4 linked regions of the Arabidopsis thaliana genome follow. The protein of the gene in region 1 interacts with the protein of each later gene in a pairwise test. Each region holds a gene or a part of one and is shown in the gene's direction. Other genes may lie near its edges.

Region 1 (3,969 bases):
TTAATAGGATATTGCAAATGATGATGAAAATGAGGTGGATTAAATTGTGTTAAAAAACAATAGTTGGTTTTGATTTGCTTTTTTTTTTTGGTATCAGGAATTCAATCTCTGGATTTCATCGTCAATGTATTATGATCCTCAATTGAAAAATGGCAAAAGATTTTATTTAATACAATATTTTTGTGTTCTCTCTTCTAATTCATTTCATGGGTTTCATGTAGAGTCTGTTTCCAATTTATTTATTTGTGTGTTGTAATACTCTATGATTTTGATTTATTTTTAGTTTGTAACATATTGTTTCTATCTCATTTCCTCTTTAAGAGCTATGCCACCACCATTCTGGTTGATTTGTGAGTTAGCACATTAATCGCTAATGTACATCATATCAGAAACAACTCTTGACTCGATTTTTTTTACTTTCATTGTATGTTTAATGTAGTTTTTTCTTCAACATTGGGCCACAATTGGCCGGCCCATTAGCCAGACAAACAACTCTTGGATCGAATTTTTTTCCTTTCATTGTGTATTTCATGTAGTTTTTTTTCAACATTGGGCCACAATTGTCCGGCCCATTAGCCAAATCCCTACATTTGTATCGAGCGGGACTCAATCCCAAGTGTGATGGTGCATGTTTTCGGTGGTACATGTTTTCATGTAATTTTTGTTTTATTATTTTAAGAAGTTATCATCAATTAGAATTAATTGTATATATCTCATTTTCATTGTATAGCTAAGGACCCAATCTTTACAGAGTTCATCTTTTTTCTCTGTCTGATTAATCTTTTTTTTTTATTATGTCTAATTAATCTTAAAGTTGCTAGACAAATAGATTCATGTACAAGATTCACTCAAACTAAATATGAGCGAGAAAAAATAGTATATATATTGAAAACTAAATTTGGGAGATACATGGGCATTTTTTTCGATTCTTTAACTCGTGAATTTAGGTTGTTCTTTTGTCGTTTCAGTTGTTGTTTTTTTGTATCAATCACTCGTGAATTTAGTTTTTTTATGAGAGCATAATTTATTATAATTTGCAATAGAGTTGTAAAGTTTAAATTGCTATAACGCTGTTTTGTGGAGAGTTAAATAGGGTGTTGACTGTTGAGTCATAAGACCAATGTGTATGGTCTTAGAAAGAAAACCTTGTCATAATTATATAAGATAATAAGTTCTGTTATAGAGGTTATTAGACAAGTGATAGGTCTAACCAGTCCAAATCACAAAATCCAAAAGCTAAACATTGCTTTTCGAAAGAGAATGTATTTCGTAAATCTGATTTGCAACATTTTGGGAAGTTTAAATTTCGAATCCAATGATATAAGAATAATAAAACAAAACAAGGTATTACATGAACATGAGTGAGTCACTGTAAAAAGTAAAAAACAACAAAAAGCCTAACATACATATATATATATATTTATTAATTTATTGTACCTTTTCATGGTTTCTTTTTTCATGCCTGTAACTCTGAGAAGGACACAGACACATTTGTTTGTGTAAGTAATAAATAAGTGTGAAAACACAATCAGAGACAAAAGCCTAAAGACTCGAGCAAACTTTTTATTAATATTTTGTTTGTTGCTTTGCTTTGATTTGTTCAAATTTCAAAAACTTCTCTTTAACCCACCACTCCCTCCATTACCACCACAACTTCACATTCTCCGATATTCTCTCTCTCTCTATCAATCTCTCACTCTCAAACTTTCTACATACCTGAAGAAAAAAATAATCTACGAATTCGAGCCAAAAAGATCGAAACTTTTTAATCTATGGGTGCTTCAGGGAAATGGGTCAAGTCCATTATCGGTCTCAAGAAGCTAGAGAAGGATGAAATCGTAAGTTCATTATCTTTTTTTTTTGTTCTCTCGTTCAAAGGTTAAAGCTTTATCGAGAGATACTCTGTTTTCAGGAAAAGGGTAATGGGAAAAACAAGAAATGGAAGCTATGGAGGACTACTTCAGTAGATTCATGGAAGGGTTTTCGAGGAAAACATCGGTCTGATTCAGACGGTGTTGATTCTTCTACTGTTTACTCTGCTGCTGTTGCTACTGTTCTTAGAGCTCCTCCTAAAGATTTCAAAGCTGTTAGAGAAGAATGGGCTGCTATTAGAATCCAAACCGCTTTTCGTGGATTCTTGGTGAGTTTGCTAATTGGTTTTGATTAGAATTGAGAGGAATAGAACTTAGTTTAATTTGAGGATTTGTTGTTAATTAGGCGAGAAGAGCGTTGAGGGCATTGAAAGGGATAGTGAGGTTACAAGCTTTAGTGAGAGGAAGACAAGTTAGGAAACAAGCAGCTGTTACATTGAGATGCATGCAAGCTTTGGTGAGAGTACAAGCTCGTGTTAGAGCTCGTCGTGTGAGGATGACTGTTGAAGGACAAGCTGTTCAAAAGCTTTTAGATGAACATAGAACCAAATCTGATCTCTTGAAAGAAGTCGAGGTTCTTGTCTTTACCTTTTTAGCTCATTGGTTTGATGATTGTTTATTGTTTTGAGATTTGTTATGTTCTCAGGAAGGGTGGTGTGATAGGAAAGGTACTGTGGATGATATTAAGTCAAAGTTGCAGCAGAGACAAGAAGGTGCTTTTAAGAGGGAACGTGCTTTGGCTTATGCTCTTGCTCAAAAGGTAACTAACTTGTCCACATTCAACATCTTGTTTAAGTTCGTGTCTGAAGCTGAATCGGGAATCTTGTTTTGTGTAGCAATGGAGGTCAACTACTAGCTCAAACCTTAAGACGAATAGTTCGATTTCGTATCTTAAAAGTCAAGAGTTTGATAAGAATAGTTGGGGATGGAGTTGGTTGGAGCGTTGGATGGCTGCTAGGCCATGGGAGACTAGACTTATGGACACTGTTGATACCGCTGCCACGCCTCCTCCTCTGCCTCATAAACATTTGAAATCACCGGAAACTGCGGATGTTGTTCAAGTTAGAAGAAACAATGTGACCACTAGAGTATCTGCAAAACCTCCTCCTCATATGCTGTCTTCAAGTCCTGGTTATGAGTTTAACGAGAGCTCAGGTTCATCCTCGATTTGTACTTCAACTACGCCTGTTTCTGGAAAAACTGGACTTGTTTCAGATAACTCTAGCAGTCAAGCAAAAAAGCACAAGCCAAGTTACATGAGCTTGACTGAATCGACAAAGGCTAAGCGAAGAACTAACCGCGGTCTCAGGCAATCTATGGATGAGTTTCAGTTTATGAAGAACTCTGGAATGTTTACAGGGGAATTGAAGACTAGTCCTTCCTCAGATCCTTTTGTTAGTTTCTCCAAACCACTCGGTGTTCCTACTCGATTCGAGAAGCCGAGAGGTTAAATGTGACCTTGTTAGATTGGAGTTTCAACAGCTTGTTGTTGTCTTGTGTGTTGTGAGATATCTGTGTATGTTGTTAATTGTTCTTTTTCCTTTGGAACTACATTGGAGTTTTGAATTTAAATATAAATTTCAGTCTTGCTTTTATTTCACTTGTTTCAAGAATCAGAATCTTTTGATGGTTCTGAGCTTAACCCCGTTCTTGAAGCTGAGAATTATACCATAATCAAGCTGCAGTGGTATCTCCATTTCTAGGGAATGTCTGAAAATGTAATTACGGTAGAGATGCAGTAATGTGAGTTTGATCTCTTGCAGGGCAAATCTCTGTCCAACACAGGCTCGTGGACCGATACCGAATGGGATGAAAGCGTATGGATGTCTATGTTTCTCCTCTTCTCCGTTCGGATCAAATCTTTCCGGCTTGAACTTCTCCGGTTCTGGAAAGTTTTTAGGGTCCTTTGCTAGAACTCCTAGTGCTAACCAAACCCATGTCCCCTAAGCAACAACCACAAGGTAAGTAATAGATTACAAGTGCTGACTGTAAATGGACTAATCCGCTTGATGGGTTTGAATATACCTTTGGGAGTAAATAACCTCCTATCTCCACTTCTTTAGCAGTTTCCCTTGCAACCAAAGGAGAAACCATGTAG
Region 2 (4,549 bases), on another chromosome or scaffold:
TAACAAACTTTTTTCACACTTGTCAACATGTATACGGTTTTATTTCATGCATGAATACTTTAAACTTTTGTTTGTATATACATATATGTCTATGACAATTCTTTAAGGCATTTTGTCTTCTTGTTGCGGACAAAACTTCACAATTGGTAAGACATTTAAACTAAAGTCATTGTCACTTGGATTCTCTCATATAATTCAACAAACATAAAAGAGAAAAAAACATATAAAAAATAAAAATATTTGTTTAATATTGTATGTATTATTTACATATAAAGCATATTTTATGTGGTATGTTACAGAAAGATGGATGGACTGAAGAAGAGGATATAATACTGATAAAAGCCCATAAGGAGATTGGGAACAGATGGGCTGAGATAGCTCGAAAACTCCCGGGACGCACTGAAAATACGATCAAGAACCATTGGAACGCGACTAAACGTCGACAACACTCGAGGAGGACTAAAGGAAAAGATGAAATTTCCCTTTCACTTGGTAGCAACACTCTTCAGAACTACATTAGGTCTGTTACCTACAATGATGATCCTTTCATGACCGCAAATGCAAACGCAAACATTGGTCCAAGAAACATGAGAGGTAAAGGTAAGAATGTAATGGTTGCGGTCTCGGAGTATGATGAGGGTGAATGTAAGTATATTGTGGATGGTGTGAATAACTTGGGTTTAGAAGATGGAAGGATCAAGATGCCGTCATTGGCGGCTATGTCGGCCTCCGGATCAGCGTCTACTTCTGGTTCTGCGTCTGGTTCTGGAAGTGGTGTGACCATGGAGATTGATGAGCCGATGACTGATAGCTGGATGGTGATGCATGGATGTGATGAAGTTATGATGAACGAGATTGCTTTGCTGGAGATGATTGCTCATGGTCGTCTTTAGACCGTGCAATATAAACAAGTCGAACTTGATTATATCTACCTATATAATTATGCTATTTATGAAATTATGTTTGTGCTTTTAATTGAAGAATTGGACATGTAATATATATTGTGGTTTAATTGAAGGTTTCTTTTGGACTAAACAAAAATTGAAGGTTTTCTTGCTTTATCAGATTTTTTTTTTGTTATTCTCTAATTTCATTTTAATTAAGAATCTATATATATTGTTAAATTTTCTGTTATACTATATGAATGGTAATTGCGTTTGCGGTTAGGAGAAGACGACCATTAGGTCCACAACAAGTACATTTAGTCACTAAAGAATAATTTTATATCGACTATGCTAAAGAAAAAAAGTACTAGTTGTTTACAAAATATCTGGTTAGTATGATGTAATATGGGATAATATGTGTATGGTCCGTTGTATTGTAATTTTCTGGAATTTGTTACCTTACCGTCATAATGACTATATGGTCCGTCGTATTGTAATACCAGAAATTTTAGGCAAAACACAAACAAAAAAAAACGTAATGAGAGTTTTGTATACATTATATTTTGGTTTTCCATTTGTTTTGTATATCACCATTCGAAAAGTCATACATAACTAAAAGAAAAATACATAAAACTTTTGGGATCTATATTCATTAATGATATTTTGACTAACTACATAGAAAATTGAGATCTTAACCAAATACAATAAACCATTACTTCTTATTCTTTTTGTGCAATTCCTCCAACAAAAAAAGAAAAAAAACTTAACAATTTTAGTCTTAACTACAAATAGTTAAAAATAATAATGGGCTTGTAGATATCTTTCCATTTATATGAGATTTGTGATTTAGGCCTATTTAAGTAAAATACACACGAAACCAAATCGACGTCGTTTGGCAACTAAGCGTTGGACAAACGGAGAAGGTCCCACCTGTCCTTGTCTCCACTCTGTGTTCTCCGATTCCAGTGGGCCTCTGACACCGCCATTGGATTGTTCTTCAGATTTATACATATCTCATATCTCATCACCTTCCAAGTTTCAATTTGACTTCTCCATCACACACAACAACAAGAACAAGGACAAGCTTCTACATTTCTCTTAACATAACGTAAGTATCAAGAATCAAAGCTACTTAATCTTAACACTAATATCTCTATATGTAAATCAATTAAGCTACTTTTAACTCCTCTGCAGAGACAGTTTTTGATCTGGGTTTTCAAGTCCGGTGTTGATCCCATTGAGTTTCGGATCTAAAAGATCCGAATATTCAGACGGATCAACAAGAGAACAAGAAAAAAAAAATGAATCTTGAGAATGTTTTGGAATTCACCAGCTTTGATTACTGGTTTAATTGGAGAGTGTTACTATGTGCTATATGGGTAATAGTTCCAATGATTGTTTCTTTATTAGTCTTATGGAAGTATGAAGATAGTTCAGTTCAAACTCAACCATCACTTAATGGTAATGATGTTTTGTGCATTGATGATGTTTGGAGACCTTGTTTTGAACGAATCCATCCGGGTTGGTTGTTGGGTTTTCGGGTTCTCGGGTTTTGTTTCCTTCTTGCTAACAATATTGCCCGGTTTGCTAATCGTGGATGGCGTATTTACTACTATTATACTCAGTAAGTTCTCTTTAAAGATCTCTGCTTTATTGTGTGGAAAGGGAATATCTTTGATGTTTTGAGACTGATATGATTGAGGTTTTGATTGGTAGGTGGACATTCACTTTGATAGCAATCTACTTCGGGGTATGTTTTGATTTTTGATGTTGTGAATATGTATATGGTTATAGTCAAGTTTGTTTGAATGTTTGTTGTCACTTGTGTGTTGTGTAGATGGGATCATTGCTTTCAATTTATGGATGTTTACAATACAAGAAGCAAGGGAACACTGGACTTATCGCTGATCAAGTAGGAATCGATGCAGAGAACGGGTTTCGTTCGCCTCTTATAGATGGTGACAACATGGTTTCGTTCGAGAAGAGAAAAACTTCTGGTTCGGAAGCACTAAAGTCATATGTTCATCTCTTCCAGATTATATATCAGGTAGACAGATTCCTTTGGTTATTATGATGTATAGTTTGCAACTTTCAGATTTCTTGTTTCATTAGTGTATATATGATCACTGATACTTGTGTGTTTTGGTTTGTTGAAAAACAGATGGGTGCTGGAGCAGCTGTGCTTACAGACAGTATATATTGGACCGTGATTTTCCCGTTTCTGTCTTTACAGGACTATGAGATGAGTTTCGTAAGTTTTCGCGCCATTTACCGTATATTAGTTAAAGCTTGTACACTGCTGATGGCACTTTCTACGTTGCACTTGACCCTCTTGAACTTAGTCTCAACTTCTCTAGTGTCAAAATTCTGTGTTTTCAGATGACTGTGAATTTGCACACAAGCAACCTCGTTTTGCTGCTTATTGACACGTTTCTAAACCGTCTGGTAAAACAATTCTTTCCTCTGCATTTACGACGAGTTTTCGTTTTCATTAATGTGTTGAACCTGAGGTCTTTTTGTGATGTTGCTTTGCAGAAATTTCCATTGTTCAGGTTCTCTTACTTCATCTTATGGACAGGATGTTTCGTTCTTTTCCAGTGGATTCTCCACATGTTTATCTCCGTTGGGTAAAACTCTTCTCTGTCATCTTTTGTATGTTACACTTACCGTCTTGATTAATCTTACACTTGTATTCCTCGATTGACTTAGGTGGCCATATCCATTTCTCAACCTGTCATTAGACATGGCTCCAGTGTGGTAAGCCTTGAAAACATTTACATACTAGACACTAGTCAGGATTGGTTTATATCATAATGTTTCATTCCTTAGAATGATTACGCCTATCCTTAATATTTTAATTCATGCATCTGCAGGTATTTGTTGGTGGCACTCCTGCATCTTCCTTCTTATGGCCTCTTTGCATTAATCGTCAAAATCAAATACAAACTCATTTCTTGAAGTCATTTCGAATCCAAGAGTTTCTGCCCCGTAAGAGTCAGTGCTCAAGGGTTACAACAATCAAAGAAACAATTTTTTACCCCATATGTCTAAAATCTTCAAAACAGATCATTGTAAACGCCACAACATTTCAATGCATAAACTATTTACTTCCGATCCAATTCGCATATCGCAATGAACCATTTCGTAAATTTTTCGCTACCCGAATTGATTTCAGCTCGAACCAAATCGAAAGAACTAACCATAGCAACAGAATATAGTGCAATCTTTGCCAAAAGTGTATGAACTTAATCAAAAACCGAACCAAACCAAACCGAAAACCCGAAAATTCAAGGTTTTAGAATTGAAGATTTGAGTGAGACTTGAGAAGCCAAGTCTGGCTCTCCTAGTCTCAAGAGACCCTTACTCAAAACCTCAGCGACATACTCATCAGCCTCCCATGACTCAGACCCCCAACCACTTTCCCTCATCAAGGTATAAACCCTAACCACCGACTCTCTCCTCTCAGCTCCAACCACAGCCCTAATCAACTTAGCTAAAGCCTTATCATCACTTCTTTGATCAATTCCATCAATTTCACCAATAAGACGATCTATCTCATCGAACTCTTTATTCCTCGTAAGAGCATTAACAATGTCTGCGTATAGAACAAGGTCAAGAGGAGGATACTCTGTACGGAGAGTGGAGAGTACATGGACAGCGAGTGT
Region 3 (7,252 bases), on another chromosome or scaffold:
CATATCCATTATAATCATCTTTAGCAATACTATTTTATTTTTAACTACGAAAAATAAACCTTGTTACGCCGTTATTAACAGTGATCATTTTTTTCGTTAAAGAAATTTAACATTCAAAAAAGATAAAGAATGATCACCAATAAGCGTCATGATCTTCCGTATGGTGATGATAAACATCGTTTGCAGTTTTGTTGTATAGTACAACGTATATGTAGCCGTAACGTGTGAATAGTGTATGGTTAGGGTCATTTTATTTGTGAACTACCACAATTTTGATAGCAGTGGAGATAAGTCAAAGGTTCGTCTTCTAATTAATTAACAGCGATTATTAGACTATCTAACTTTTCTTCTTTTCTTATTTTGATAATAACTATATATCTTCTTTAGCCACCTTACTTTCTCATCGGGTTCTATTTAAATAGGGACAAAGAAAACAAACCATCGATTTGTACTATGTGCTCAATTATATCATATGTTTTGTCTCCATCTATGTATCTATTTCTCTTTTCCATTTGGTAAATTATTTAAGACCCTTAAACTGACTTTTCTCGTGGGCGGCGTCGAAGTTTTGGTTAACAGACAAAACATCTGTTCATGATGCCTGCATAACTCTATGTTTTTATACTACTCATTTGCCCTCTATTTCATGCTACTCTTAAAAATAGCTAAATAAAAATACTTCAATATTAGAAAAAAAATCTTCTTGATGTCAAAAATACACTTTAGATATCCCCTCTAGTTCTTGTGATGCTAATATATTACAAAATTGTTTATATATATAGAAATATTACCTCTAGCAATACAAAAATCTTGTTATATCAATTAAATATAACACTATCCGACTAGTGTTTACTAAAATAACACATAATTTTTAATTATGATCTTTGAATTTTAGTTTATGTATTACGCTTTATAATTTTGTTATCAAAAACTATAAAAGCTCAAAAGTGAGCATCTATACCCTAATTCCGTTTTTATGCATACACTTAGGTTTATTTTTATTACGAGAATCTGTGTTTAGTATATATAAAATAGAGTTTATGAATGACTAAGTTAAATACTTCAATACTAATTAAAGTAAGTCGTATTGATGCAGACAATATAAACTTTAGATATCTCCGCTAGTTTGTATAATGCTAATAGATTCAAATTGTCTTTATGTAGAGGAATTACCTCAAATAACATAAAATTTTCATTTTATTAATTAAATCTCATTTTGTCATTTCAAAAGTCATTTTAATTACTGTGTTATTTGTCTAAAGTATACTCCAAACAAGAAACCAAAGTAGAAGGTCAGTGCCCAAGAGACAAATAAACTTAAGCATGTCCACTCTTTTTAGCGATCGGATCGCTTATCTGTTCTTATCCATTATGGAACATGAACGATGTTCCTTTAAGACTACCACATTCAAACGAAAAATAAGTCATCGATGATAGACTGGATAGTTATAGTTTGATGATCTAGCTAATTGACTTTCATATTTACATAAAACAGAAATGTGTTTTTATCAAAAAAGAAAAAAGAAAAAACAGAAAATGAACAATACATCTCACATGGAGTTTGTACAAGAATCCATAATAATTTTTTGTTCGGTACAGTAGGTTAGATATACATTTGAATACAGTTTACAAGCCAAATGTTAGAAGCAACATATTTATATAGTATCATCAATATACGATCCAAAATGAATTATAGATTGACTTATGGAAAAGTTAGATACTATATGCATGATTGCCAAATACATTGAAAAATAACAATTTAAGTTCTTCAAACAAAAGTTTATAAATGACTCGGTGTTTGACATAACTCGGGGTTGTTTTTCTTTGTTAATTCACACACGGGGTTGGTGTATAAATGACTTCGGTGTTTGAAATGTATGACACGGTATAAATAAAAAAGGTAAGGAAGAAATGAAGAATAGAAGAAGAACAAAAAAAAAAGGAAATTAAAAAAAAGTCAAAATAAATGGTCAGTAAAGGATTTTGACCAGACCGGAGCGGTCCATCCATAGTTTCCCACTACCTTCCCTGATTTAGCACAGAAGAATGGCAATTTGCATGCCATTTATTTCATCTATTCCTCCTTCACTCTATAAATATATTTTAAACAAAATCAATTTCTTCCATACACAAAAATCAAACACCTTTTGAGAGCGGTTATTTTTTCTCTATCAACTAATACAGTAACCTTACGGGTGTTTATTTGTATAGATCTCTGTGGTTTTCTTGGCCAAATCTAGTGAGATCTTTTTGGTTTCTCGAATTCGATGAAAATGAGACGAGGCAATTCAAGTAACGACCATGAACTTGGGATTCTACGAGGAGCTAACTCGGACACCAACTCGGACACGGAGAGCATCGCTAGCGACCGTGGTGCCTTTAGCGGTCCGCTTGGCCGGCCTAAACGTGCGTCCAAGAAAAACGCAAGATTCGCCGACGATCTTCCCAAGAGAAGCAATAGTGTTGCTGGCGGCCGTGGTGATGACGATGAGTACGTGGAGATCACGCTAGACATCAGGGACGACTCGGTGGCCGTCCATAGTGTCCAACAAGCAGCTGGAGGTGGAGGCCACCTGGAGGACCCGGAGCTAGCCCTTCTTACGAAGAAGACTCTCGAGAGCAGCCTCAACAACACCACCTCCTTATCTTTCTTCCGAAGCACCTCCTCACGCATCAAGAACGCCTCCCGCGAGCTCCGCCGCGTGTTCTCTAGACGTCCCTCCCCGGCCGTGCGGCGGTTTGACCGCACGAGCTCCGCGGCCATCCACGCACTCAAAGGTCTCAAGTTCATTGCCACCAAGACGGCCGCATGGCCGGCCGTCGACCAACGTTTCGATAAACTCTCCGCTGATTCCAACGGCCTCTTACTCTCTGCCAAGTTTTGGGAATGCTTAGGTAAGTAAATCACTTCTTACTAAGCAATTCTATTAGTACTATATGTTTCCATTTTTGTGTTAGTCTCATTTTTGTTTTGTTTTTTACTCTAGGAATGAATAAGGAATCTAAAGACTTCGCTGACCAGCTCTTTAGAGCATTAGCTCGCCGGAATAACGTCTCCGGCGATGCAATCACAAAGGAACAGCTTAGGATATTCTGGGAACAGATCTCAGACGAAAGCTTTGATGCCAAACTCCAAGTCTTTTTTGACATGTAAGCTTTTTTTTACATATCTTCACCTAACCCACAATAAATATATAACGCGTAATCACTATTTGTCGTTTAATATTGACTCTTAATGAAAATTAAACGGTCATCAGAATTTAAGGACCAAAAGTAGTAATATTAATCATTTGTGGAGTTTTGGTGGATTTGTAACTAATATATGACATCACTGTTTGGTCAGGGTGGACAAAGATGAAGATGGGCGAGTAACAGAAGAAGAGGTGGCTGAGGTGAGAAAACACACACACCACTCAATAATTATCTTTTTCAAATATTTTATTATATTTATACATTTTTTTTATCTTATATTTATTCATATTCCTGGTTGAATTTTTTTTCTCTTATTTTATACGTTATTCTTGGTTGATTATTTTGACAATTTTGTCCACGCGCAAATCCCCACTGACTTTATCTGCTGACGTTTACTATTAACATCATCAATATATTAACTTCATGTGAACACGACAAAATGGTAATAGATAGATAGAGTAGTAGTCTTTGTTACTTTAGCTTAGGTTATTAATGTTTCAAATACTTTAGCTTTTGTTTTCTAATTTGTTGGTAATTTATTGCAGATTATTAGTCTTAGTGCTTCTGCAAACAAGCTCTCAAATATTCAAAAGCAAGCCAAAGAATATGCGGCACTGATAATGGAAGAGTTGGACCCAGACAATGCTGGGTTTATTATGGTACGTGTGGTCCACTTTCACCCACTCAATCACACTAATGGTATTATGTACGTCGTAAATTTAACCACTCTTAAAATACTAGAAAAAACGTGGAAAAACATAACGTTCTAGAAGTCTTTAGTGGTCAAAATTGGGTCACCATGATGTTTTTTAATTTCCAACTTATTGGGCCATCTTGAACTTTTTACCAAACCAATCAACAAAATCTCGACAATGGGTGGTTAGTGGTTACGATATGAAGAAATGACCAATAAAATTGTAAAATATATGAACTAACACTATAATCCAAGCTTAGAAAGTCTTAGGCGGCTTCCGATAGTATATTGTTTTTTAATTATTGGAGAAACCTATGAAAAGTGTTTTTAAGAAAAACAGTTTGGAACATTAATGTTTTATTGTAACGTTTTAGTTAATTATATGATATGGACATTGGTGAAACAGATCGAAAACTTGGAAATGTTGCTATTACAAGCACCAAACCAGTCGGTGCGGATGGGAGACAGCAGGATACTTAGTCAGATGTTAAGTCAGAAGCTTAGACCGGCAAAAGAGAGCAACCCTTTAGTGAGATGGTCGGAGAAAATCAAATATTTCATACTTGACAATTGGCAGAGACTATGGATAATGATGTTATGGCTTGGCATCTGTGGTGGCCTCTTTACTTATAAATTCATTCAGTACAAGAACAAAGCTGCCTATGGTGTCATGGGTTATTGCGTTTGTGTCGCCAAAGGAGGCGCCGAGACTCTCAAATTCAACATGGCTCTCATATTGTTGCCTGTTTGTCGAAACACCATCACTTGGCTTAGGAACAAGACTAAGCTTGGTACTGTCGTTCCTTTTGATGATAGTCTTAACTTCCACAAGGTTATTGCAAGCGGGATAGTCGTCGGTGTTTTACTCCATGCGGGTGCCCATTTAACGTGTGATTTTCCACGTTTAATTGCCGCGGATGAGGACACCTATGAGCCGATGGAAAAATACTTTGGGGATCAACCGACTAGCTACTGGTGGTTTGTGAAAGGAGTGGAAGGATGGACTGGCATTGTGATGGTTGTGCTAATGGCTATAGCCTTTACACTCGCGACGCCTTGGTTCCGACGTAACAAGCTTAACTTACCTAACTTCCTCAAGAAGCTTACCGGTTTCAACGCCTTTTGGTACACCCACCATTTGTTCATCATTGTTTATGCTCTTCTCATTGTCCATGGTATCAAGCTCTACCTCACAAAGATTTGGTATCAGAAAACGGTACTCTCTTCAAACCTCATTTTATCTGTTTTAATTTCTTATTTTCTTTCCTTTTTCCGGTTAATAACATTTATTACCTGTTTGTATGATTCTTGTAGACATGGATGTATCTTGCTGTACCCATCCTTCTATATGCATCGGAGAGGCTGCTCCGTGCTTTCAGATCAAGCATCAAACCGGTTAAGATGATCAAGGTCAGATATATTTCTATTTATCTCTTGAAAACCTTATGTTTCAAGAAATATTTCAACTAATACTTTTAAACCATCTTATTTTATAGTTCTTTTTGATAAAAGTTTGAAAATTGCCTTTGAACTTAATCTATATATATGTAACAACAGGTGGCTGTTTACCCCGGGAACGTGTTGTCTCTACACATGACGAAGCCACAAGGATTCAAATACAAAAGTGGACAGTTCATGTTGGTGAACTGCCGAGCCGTATCTCCATTCGAATGGCATCCTTTCTCAATCACATCAGCTCCCGGAGACGATTACCTGAGCGTACATATCCGCACTCTCGGTGACTGGACACGTAAGCTCAGGACCGTTTTCTCCGAGGTTTGCAAACCTCCTACCGCCGGTAAAAGCGGTCTTCTCCGAGCAGACGGAGGAGATGGAAACCTCCCGTTCCCGAAGGTCCTTATCGACGGTCCATACGGTGCTCCCGCACAAGACTACAAGAAATACGACGTGGTACTCCTCGTAGGTCTCGGCATTGGAGCCACGCCTATGATCAGTATCCTTAAGGACATCATCAACAACATGAAAGGTCCTGACCGCGACAGCGACATTGAGAACAATAACAGTAACAACAATAGTAAAGGGTTTAAGACAAGGAAAGCTTATTTCTACTGGGTGACTAGGGAACAAGGATCATTCGAGTGGTTCAAGGGAATAATGGACGAGATTTCGGAGTTAGACGAGGAAGGAATCATCGAGCTTCACAATTATTGCACGAGTGTGTACGAGGAAGGTGATGCAAGAGTGGCTCTCATTGCCATGCTTCAGTCGTTGCAACACGCTAAGAACGGTGTGGATGTTGTGTCGGGTACACGTGTCAAGTCCCACTTCGCTAAACCTAACTGGAGACAAGTCTACAAGAAGATCGCTGTTCAACATCCCGGCAAAAGAATAGGTAACTAATCTCGACCGTTAATCTCGTTATGTACGTGATGTTGTATAATAATTAATAAAGTGATGAATTTAGACTAAATACTAATATGAATTTTGATTGCAGGAGTCTTCTACTGTGGAATGCCAGGAATGATAAAGGAATTAAAAAATCTAGCTTTGGATTTTTCTCGAAAGACAACTACCAAGTTTGACTTCCACAAAGAGAACTTCTAGATTAATTATATACGTTGTAGAAAAATAAAACAAGAAACAACTATACAAATAAATATTTATTTTAAATTCTTTTCATTTTTATGTAAAATTATCTGAGTTATCTTTTTTTGTTCTTCTATATCCCTACCGTTTTGTTGGTTACTTTTTCACTACTTAGTTTAATGCCAAATTAAGTATAAGATAGTAGAAGTTTATATAGTTACAGCTTTGGTGTTGTAAACATGTAATCATGGAGTTATCTGTACTATTATTTTGTACTTATATTCGAATATTAACAACTAAAGATAGTTTTGATATTCAATACCCATTACTCATTTAACATAATGAATAGAGATATCAACATTAGATACGTCTTGATTATTTGCTCACCAATGCATTTGCGTGTTTAACTTGTTTATATGTTATTAATAGTGTTCTTTTAGTTAAAATGACAAATAATTTCTTAACTCAAAAGCATCTTATATCACAACTCTAGCTAGATTAGTTTAGCTTTTCATAAGTCTTCTTGCGTTTACGTCTTTATTTATGGGTTGATACCCTATTCACTACTTTAATTTGCCTTGCACTTGGGATAGTTTAAAAGACTTTAAAATTATGCAGCTAGAATATAATCAAAACTTGATATAAGTATCAAAATAATTAAATACAATTGCTATCGATAATAATCAGAAACAATCGTTATGAATGGTTAAGTTTGTTTCCTTAAAATGGTTACGAATGATTAATTTTGTTCCTTAGGTAAACTAAAAGTTCAAAAACAAATCCAACCTACTACAATCTAAGAAAACTGACAAAGTTTAT
Region 4 (4,408 bases), on another chromosome or scaffold:
ATTAGTTAACATGAAGGCATTATTTGAGGCTCGAATCAACTTTATAGTTACTGAAAAACAAATCAAGCGAGTAAGAGCACCAAATGAAGATTGGTTACAAGATGATGAAGTTGATGTTGTTCTCCGATTCAGCAATGTGGTGAAGCTCATGAATGGCATACAAAATGTTCAGAAACTTTACTTAACTGCTGATACTATCGAGGTCAGTTTTCTATTTTTCTTCTCTTTTGTCTAGTTGTGAAGCATTAATTGCAAAATGTCTAGTTTTCTTGTTTTCAGGTGCTTTCTCTGTGCTGTGAATCGGTGCCGCTGTTCAACAACCTCAAAACATTAGGTATCACGAGTGAGGAGGGACGAGGATGGCAAGCGATGCCAGTTCTTGTAAGTAAATGTCCATATGTAGAATTTCTACTCGTTGAGGTCCAGTTATAAACCATGAAACTACTTGGAAAACATGTGTTAAAGATGTTGTTCTTACTCAACAATCTTATTGTCTCCTTTATGCTTTCAGGGTCTCTTACACTATATGACGGATAAATGTGGGGATGCTTGTGATTGCATTTCTCGGGAAGACAAAGGTCGTTCGCTTACATCTTGTCCAGTGAAGAAGTTAGAGATTCGAGGGTTTAGAGGAACAATGAAAGAGATGACAATGATAAAGCATTTCTTGGTCTACTTTCCGTGTCTGAAGGAGATGAACATCTATGTTGAGGAGTATGATCCTACAGAGCTCAGATTCCCTCAAGTGTCTAAAGTTATCATACAGATGATGGAAGAGTACAACAAGTTATCGAGTTGCAATGTTCAGCTCCTTATAACTGATTATTTGTCTGAAAAGTGGACTGCAGCAGGAAGAATTCTCTGAGAAAACAAAACTTGCTCAAAGTTTTGCCAAAGTCCCCTTGGAATTTGTCTTCGGTTATTCTAGTTTCTTTTCAAACCAAACCAAATTAATCCCAAAACCTTAGTTTCCTCTTCTCTTATGTTTAACTGAATCACTCTACGTTTTGTTTCCAACCAAAATCTCTTGTTTTTATGCATTGTTTCCTGTCATTTACTATGGTTAAAGCTCAATATAATAAGTTCAATTTGCAAAAGATAACTTTTTCAGAAACCTAACATTAGTATATCCATTGTTACCCTTTAAGAGCAGTTTAAGATCTATGACACTGTTTGTGACTGAGTGCTTGTCCGGATATGTGGGAAGATGATTATGATGAGGAGGAGGATAAGTATGAAACCTGTTTGTGAGTGCTTGTCCGGATATTTTCCTAATGTCGTGTCCTGTGAAAATGCTAGAGATCACCGATTACCGGGGAACTAAAGGAGATCAAAACAGATTCATTAGATTGACCTTGAGCTTGTCAAAGTTCGTCCTTATGCAACAGAGCCCATAGAAAAGCATTGTCTTAGAAACAATCTACTAAAGCTTCCCAGATCACTCAATTGCAAGACCCCAGTTTCAGTTTGTTACTACTTGCTCTATTTGTTAATTTAAACTGTTTTATGTACAGTGTTGCTTGTAGGTTCAACTCTCAAACTCCCAAACTCTCAAATGAATTGTTTTGATTTTATTCTTCATCAGAAATTGCCCTTGAGTTCTTCTCTTGTTAATTATGTTTGAATAACGATAACTGGGCTTATCTAGTTGGGCCTATAGTCTTTCACGATGCATACGCAGCCCAGAGAATTGAACTCGATAAAATAGATTATACATGTTCTGTGTGATCGTTGGGTCCGAACCAAACCGATTCTGGCCAGGAAATTAAAACCAAAACCAAACCGCTTCAGAAACCAAACGATACCGTTTCAATACATCGATATCGACTATAGCAATTTCGCCGTAAGAAAGTTTTAGTTACAAAATCGAACCCTATTCTTTTTTTTTCCGTCAATCGAACCCTATTCCTCACTGACCCTGACGTTTATGGCAGAGGAAGGATTCATCGGAATTGGAGAAAGCGAAGAAGAAGCGGCAGAGATCGGCGCTTTCTCCTACAGCCACCACCAGATCTCTGACCTGCGACGAAGAAGTTGACTGAAACAATTATTTGTTTCGTGGCTGGAATCCATGGGGAAGGGCCCCTTATCGTTTCGCCGTCTTTCAAGCATCCGTCACCGGAAAAAAGGTTCTGCGGTGAAGGATGACTCCGCACAGACATCGACGCCTTCATCTCCACCGCCTCCCCTACCGATTCATGCTGGCGGATCGGCTGTGGGAGCGACGGGGAAGGCGAAGAAGAAAACCGGAGGAGCTAGGCTGTGGATGAGGTTTGATCGGACTGGTGCTATGGAAGTGGTGGAGTGCGATAAGAGTACAATCATCAAACGTGCTTCTGTTCCCGCTAGGGATTTGAGGATACTTGGCCCTGTCTTCTCTCACTCCTCTAACATTCTCGGTAAAAACTTCGATTTGCTAATTCCTGGATTAGGTCATAAGATCACAATTGCTGCAAATTAGCTTGGACATTGTGTTTCTGAAGTTATAAGCTTGTTTTTTTGCTCTGCAGCCAGAGAGAAAGCTATTGTTGTGAATTTAGAGGTCATAAAGGCAATAGTTACTGCAGAAGAAGTGTTGTTGTTGGATCCTCTCCGTCCTGAAGTTCTTCCATTCGTTGAACGACTAAAGCAACAGTTTCCTCAGAGGAATGGGAATGAAAATGCACTGCAAGCTTCTGCGAATGTACAATCTCCTCTTGATCCAGAAGCTGCAGAGGGTTTGCAGAGTGAGCTTCCTTTTGAGTTTCAGGTCCTGGAGATTGCACTTGAGGTCGTCTGCTCATTTGTTGATAAAAGTGTGGCTGCTCTTGAGACAGAAGCTTGGCCTGTCCTTGATGAACTCACTAAGAATGTCAGCACTGAGAATCTTGAATATGTACGAAGTTTGAAAAGTAATCTCACCCGCTTGCTAGCTCGTGTACAAAAGGTAGAGGCTTAATAAGTTACCATTTCCCAGGATACTATAATGTTGTGTGGTGGATGGAAACATTAAACTGTTGTGTTATTCAGGTGAGAGATGAACTCGAGCATTTGTTAGATGACAACGAAGACATGGCTGACTTATACTTAACAAGGAAATGGATCCAGAACCAGCAAACCGAGGCAATACTGGCGGGTACAGCATCAAACAGCATTGCCCTCCCAGCACATAATACATCAAATCTTCACCGGCTCACATCAAACAGAAGTGCGAGTATGGTGACGAGCAATACAGAGGAAGATGACGTGGAGGATTTGGAGATGTTGTTGGAGGCATACTTCATGCAACTGGATGGAATGCGGAACAAGATTCTTACAGTGAGGGAGTACATTGACGACACAGAAGACTACGTGAACATTCAACTGGATAATCAACGAAACGAACTGATCCAGCTGCAGCTGACGCTGACCATAGCCTCGTTTGCAATAGCCGCAGAGACATTGTTGGCCAGCTTGTTTGGAATGAACATACCATGTCCATTGTATAGCATACATGGCGTCTTTGGTTACTTTGTGTGGAGTGTTACTGCACTTTGCATTGTGCTTTTCATGGTCACTCTTGGTTACGCCAGGTGGAAGAAGCTGCTAGGCTCATAATCTCCCTCTCTCTTACAAACCATGTGCCACTTGTGTAATAATTTATACATATGTTACTGGACAGAGTTGTTTCACTCATATCTTGTCCAGTGAAGACGTTAGTGATTCATATATGTTGTTGAGGAACACATGTAGATGGAAATGATATAAGAGTATATATGTTGAAGAGAATTATATTCAGACATCGAAGTCATTAAAATGTTTAAACTAATTGTGCACATAATTGAACTCTTCAACTAGTTTGCTCTCTTCTCAAAGCTCTCTCTTATTACTCTTCCAATGATTTTTCTCTATATTCCTCACACAAAACATTCATCCTCTACCTTGGTATCGAGTTCATCATCAACTGCTTTCCGTTGTCGAACTTAAGTTTATGGGTTGATTTGATTTGGTTCGGTGTGGTTTATTTTTGGTTATTAAAACTGGTCCAACCAAACCAATTTTAAAGTTAGCCAAACCGCTTTACTTTCCAAAACCCTAAATTTTCGTTTTGGTTTTTCTCCCAAGTTACCTTAAAGTAAACCGAACAGATTTACTTTCCGAAACCCTAAAATTCTCGTTGCCAAATAGAAATAGGTTCGGCTGCGTTTGTAGTTTGTACGTCGTCCTCTCAAAGTCAAAGTTTGTGACTTCTCTTCTGCTTTCTCGCCTCTCGGCTCTCCCGTAGTAAGGTATTTCTGAAAATTTCTAACCATGGTTTCTTATAGTCTCACGTAGTTAGTATTGCTTCTTCTCCGCATATCTTCGGTATATATCTCCACTTTCAAAGTATTTTCGTTTCCAGAGAATCGTATTATGACGTTTCTATGTTTGTAGATCGAGAACTTTCTTC

What was found.
Region 2: the proteins of IQD6 (region 1) and AT3G27770 interact in a protein complementation assay, tested with the Arabidopsis thaliana proteins (one large-scale study listed by BioGRID).
Region 3: the proteins of IQD6 (region 1) and RBOHD interact in a protein complementation assay, tested with the Arabidopsis thaliana proteins (one large-scale study listed by BioGRID).
Region 4: the proteins of IQD6 (region 1) and MGT6 interact in a protein complementation assay, tested with the Arabidopsis thaliana proteins (one large-scale study listed by BioGRID).

Annotation. Positions count from the first base shown.
Region 1 is NC_003071.7:11,142,786-11,146,754, reverse strand, and holds IQD6 (IQ-domain 6), read left to right. Parts: upstream 1-1,651; 5' UTR 1,652-1,772; coding exon 1,773-1,838; intron 1,839-1,912; coding exon 1,913-2,140; intron 2,141-2,217; coding exon 2,218-2,445; intron 2,446-2,517; coding exon 2,518-2,631; intron 2,632-2,707; coding exon 2,708-3,322; 3' UTR 3,323-3,465; downstream 3,466-3,969. Other genes in the region: CYP711A1 (cytochrome P450, family 711, subfamily A, polypeptide 1), read right to left, coding at 3,485-3,814, 3,897-3,969. UniProt on the Arabidopsis thaliana protein: May be involved in cooperative interactions with calmodulins or calmodulin-like proteins. Recruits calmodulin proteins to microtubules, thus being a potential scaffold in cellular signaling and trafficking.
Region 2 is NC_003074.8:10,285,111-10,289,659, reverse strand, and holds AT3G27770 (plant/protein), read left to right. Parts: upstream 1-1,728; 5' UTR 1,729-1,992; intron 1,993-2,078; 5' UTR 2,079-2,185; coding exon 2,186-2,508; intron 2,509-2,600; coding exon 2,601-2,634; intron 2,635-2,721; coding exon 2,722-2,931; intron 2,932-3,045; coding exon 3,046-3,135; intron 3,136-3,263; coding exon 3,264-3,329; intron 3,330-3,419; coding exon 3,420-3,511; intron 3,512-3,593; coding exon 3,594-3,641; intron 3,642-3,757; coding exon 3,758-3,842; 3' UTR 3,843-4,003; downstream 4,004-4,549. Other genes in the region: MYB118 (myb domain protein 118), read left to right, coding at 300-893; EMB3123 (PPR containing protein), read right to left, coding at 4,172-4,549.
Region 3 is NC_003076.8:19,395,318-19,402,569, forward strand, and holds RBOHD (respiratory burst oxidase homologue D), read left to right. Parts: upstream 1-1,723; 5' UTR 1,724-2,267; coding exon 2,268-2,895; intron 2,896-2,987; coding exon 2,988-3,150; intron 3,151-3,343; coding exon 3,344-3,392; intron 3,393-3,737; coding exon 3,738-3,851; intron 3,852-4,292; coding exon 4,293-5,102; intron 5,103-5,200; coding exon 5,201-5,296; intron 5,297-5,443; coding exon 5,444-6,239; intron 6,240-6,341; coding exon 6,342-6,451; 3' UTR 6,452-6,744; downstream 6,745-7,252. UniProt on the Arabidopsis thaliana protein: Calcium-dependent NADPH oxidase that generates superoxide.
Region 4 is NC_003074.8:21,788,827-21,793,234, reverse strand, and holds MGT6 (magnesium transporter 6), read left to right. Parts: upstream 1-1,758; 5' UTR 1,759-2,071; coding exon 2,072-2,399; intron 2,400-2,510; coding exon 2,511-2,926; intron 2,927-3,009; coding exon 3,010-3,576; 3' UTR 3,577-3,903; downstream 3,904-4,408. UniProt on the Arabidopsis thaliana protein: Magnesium transporter that may mediate the influx of magnesium.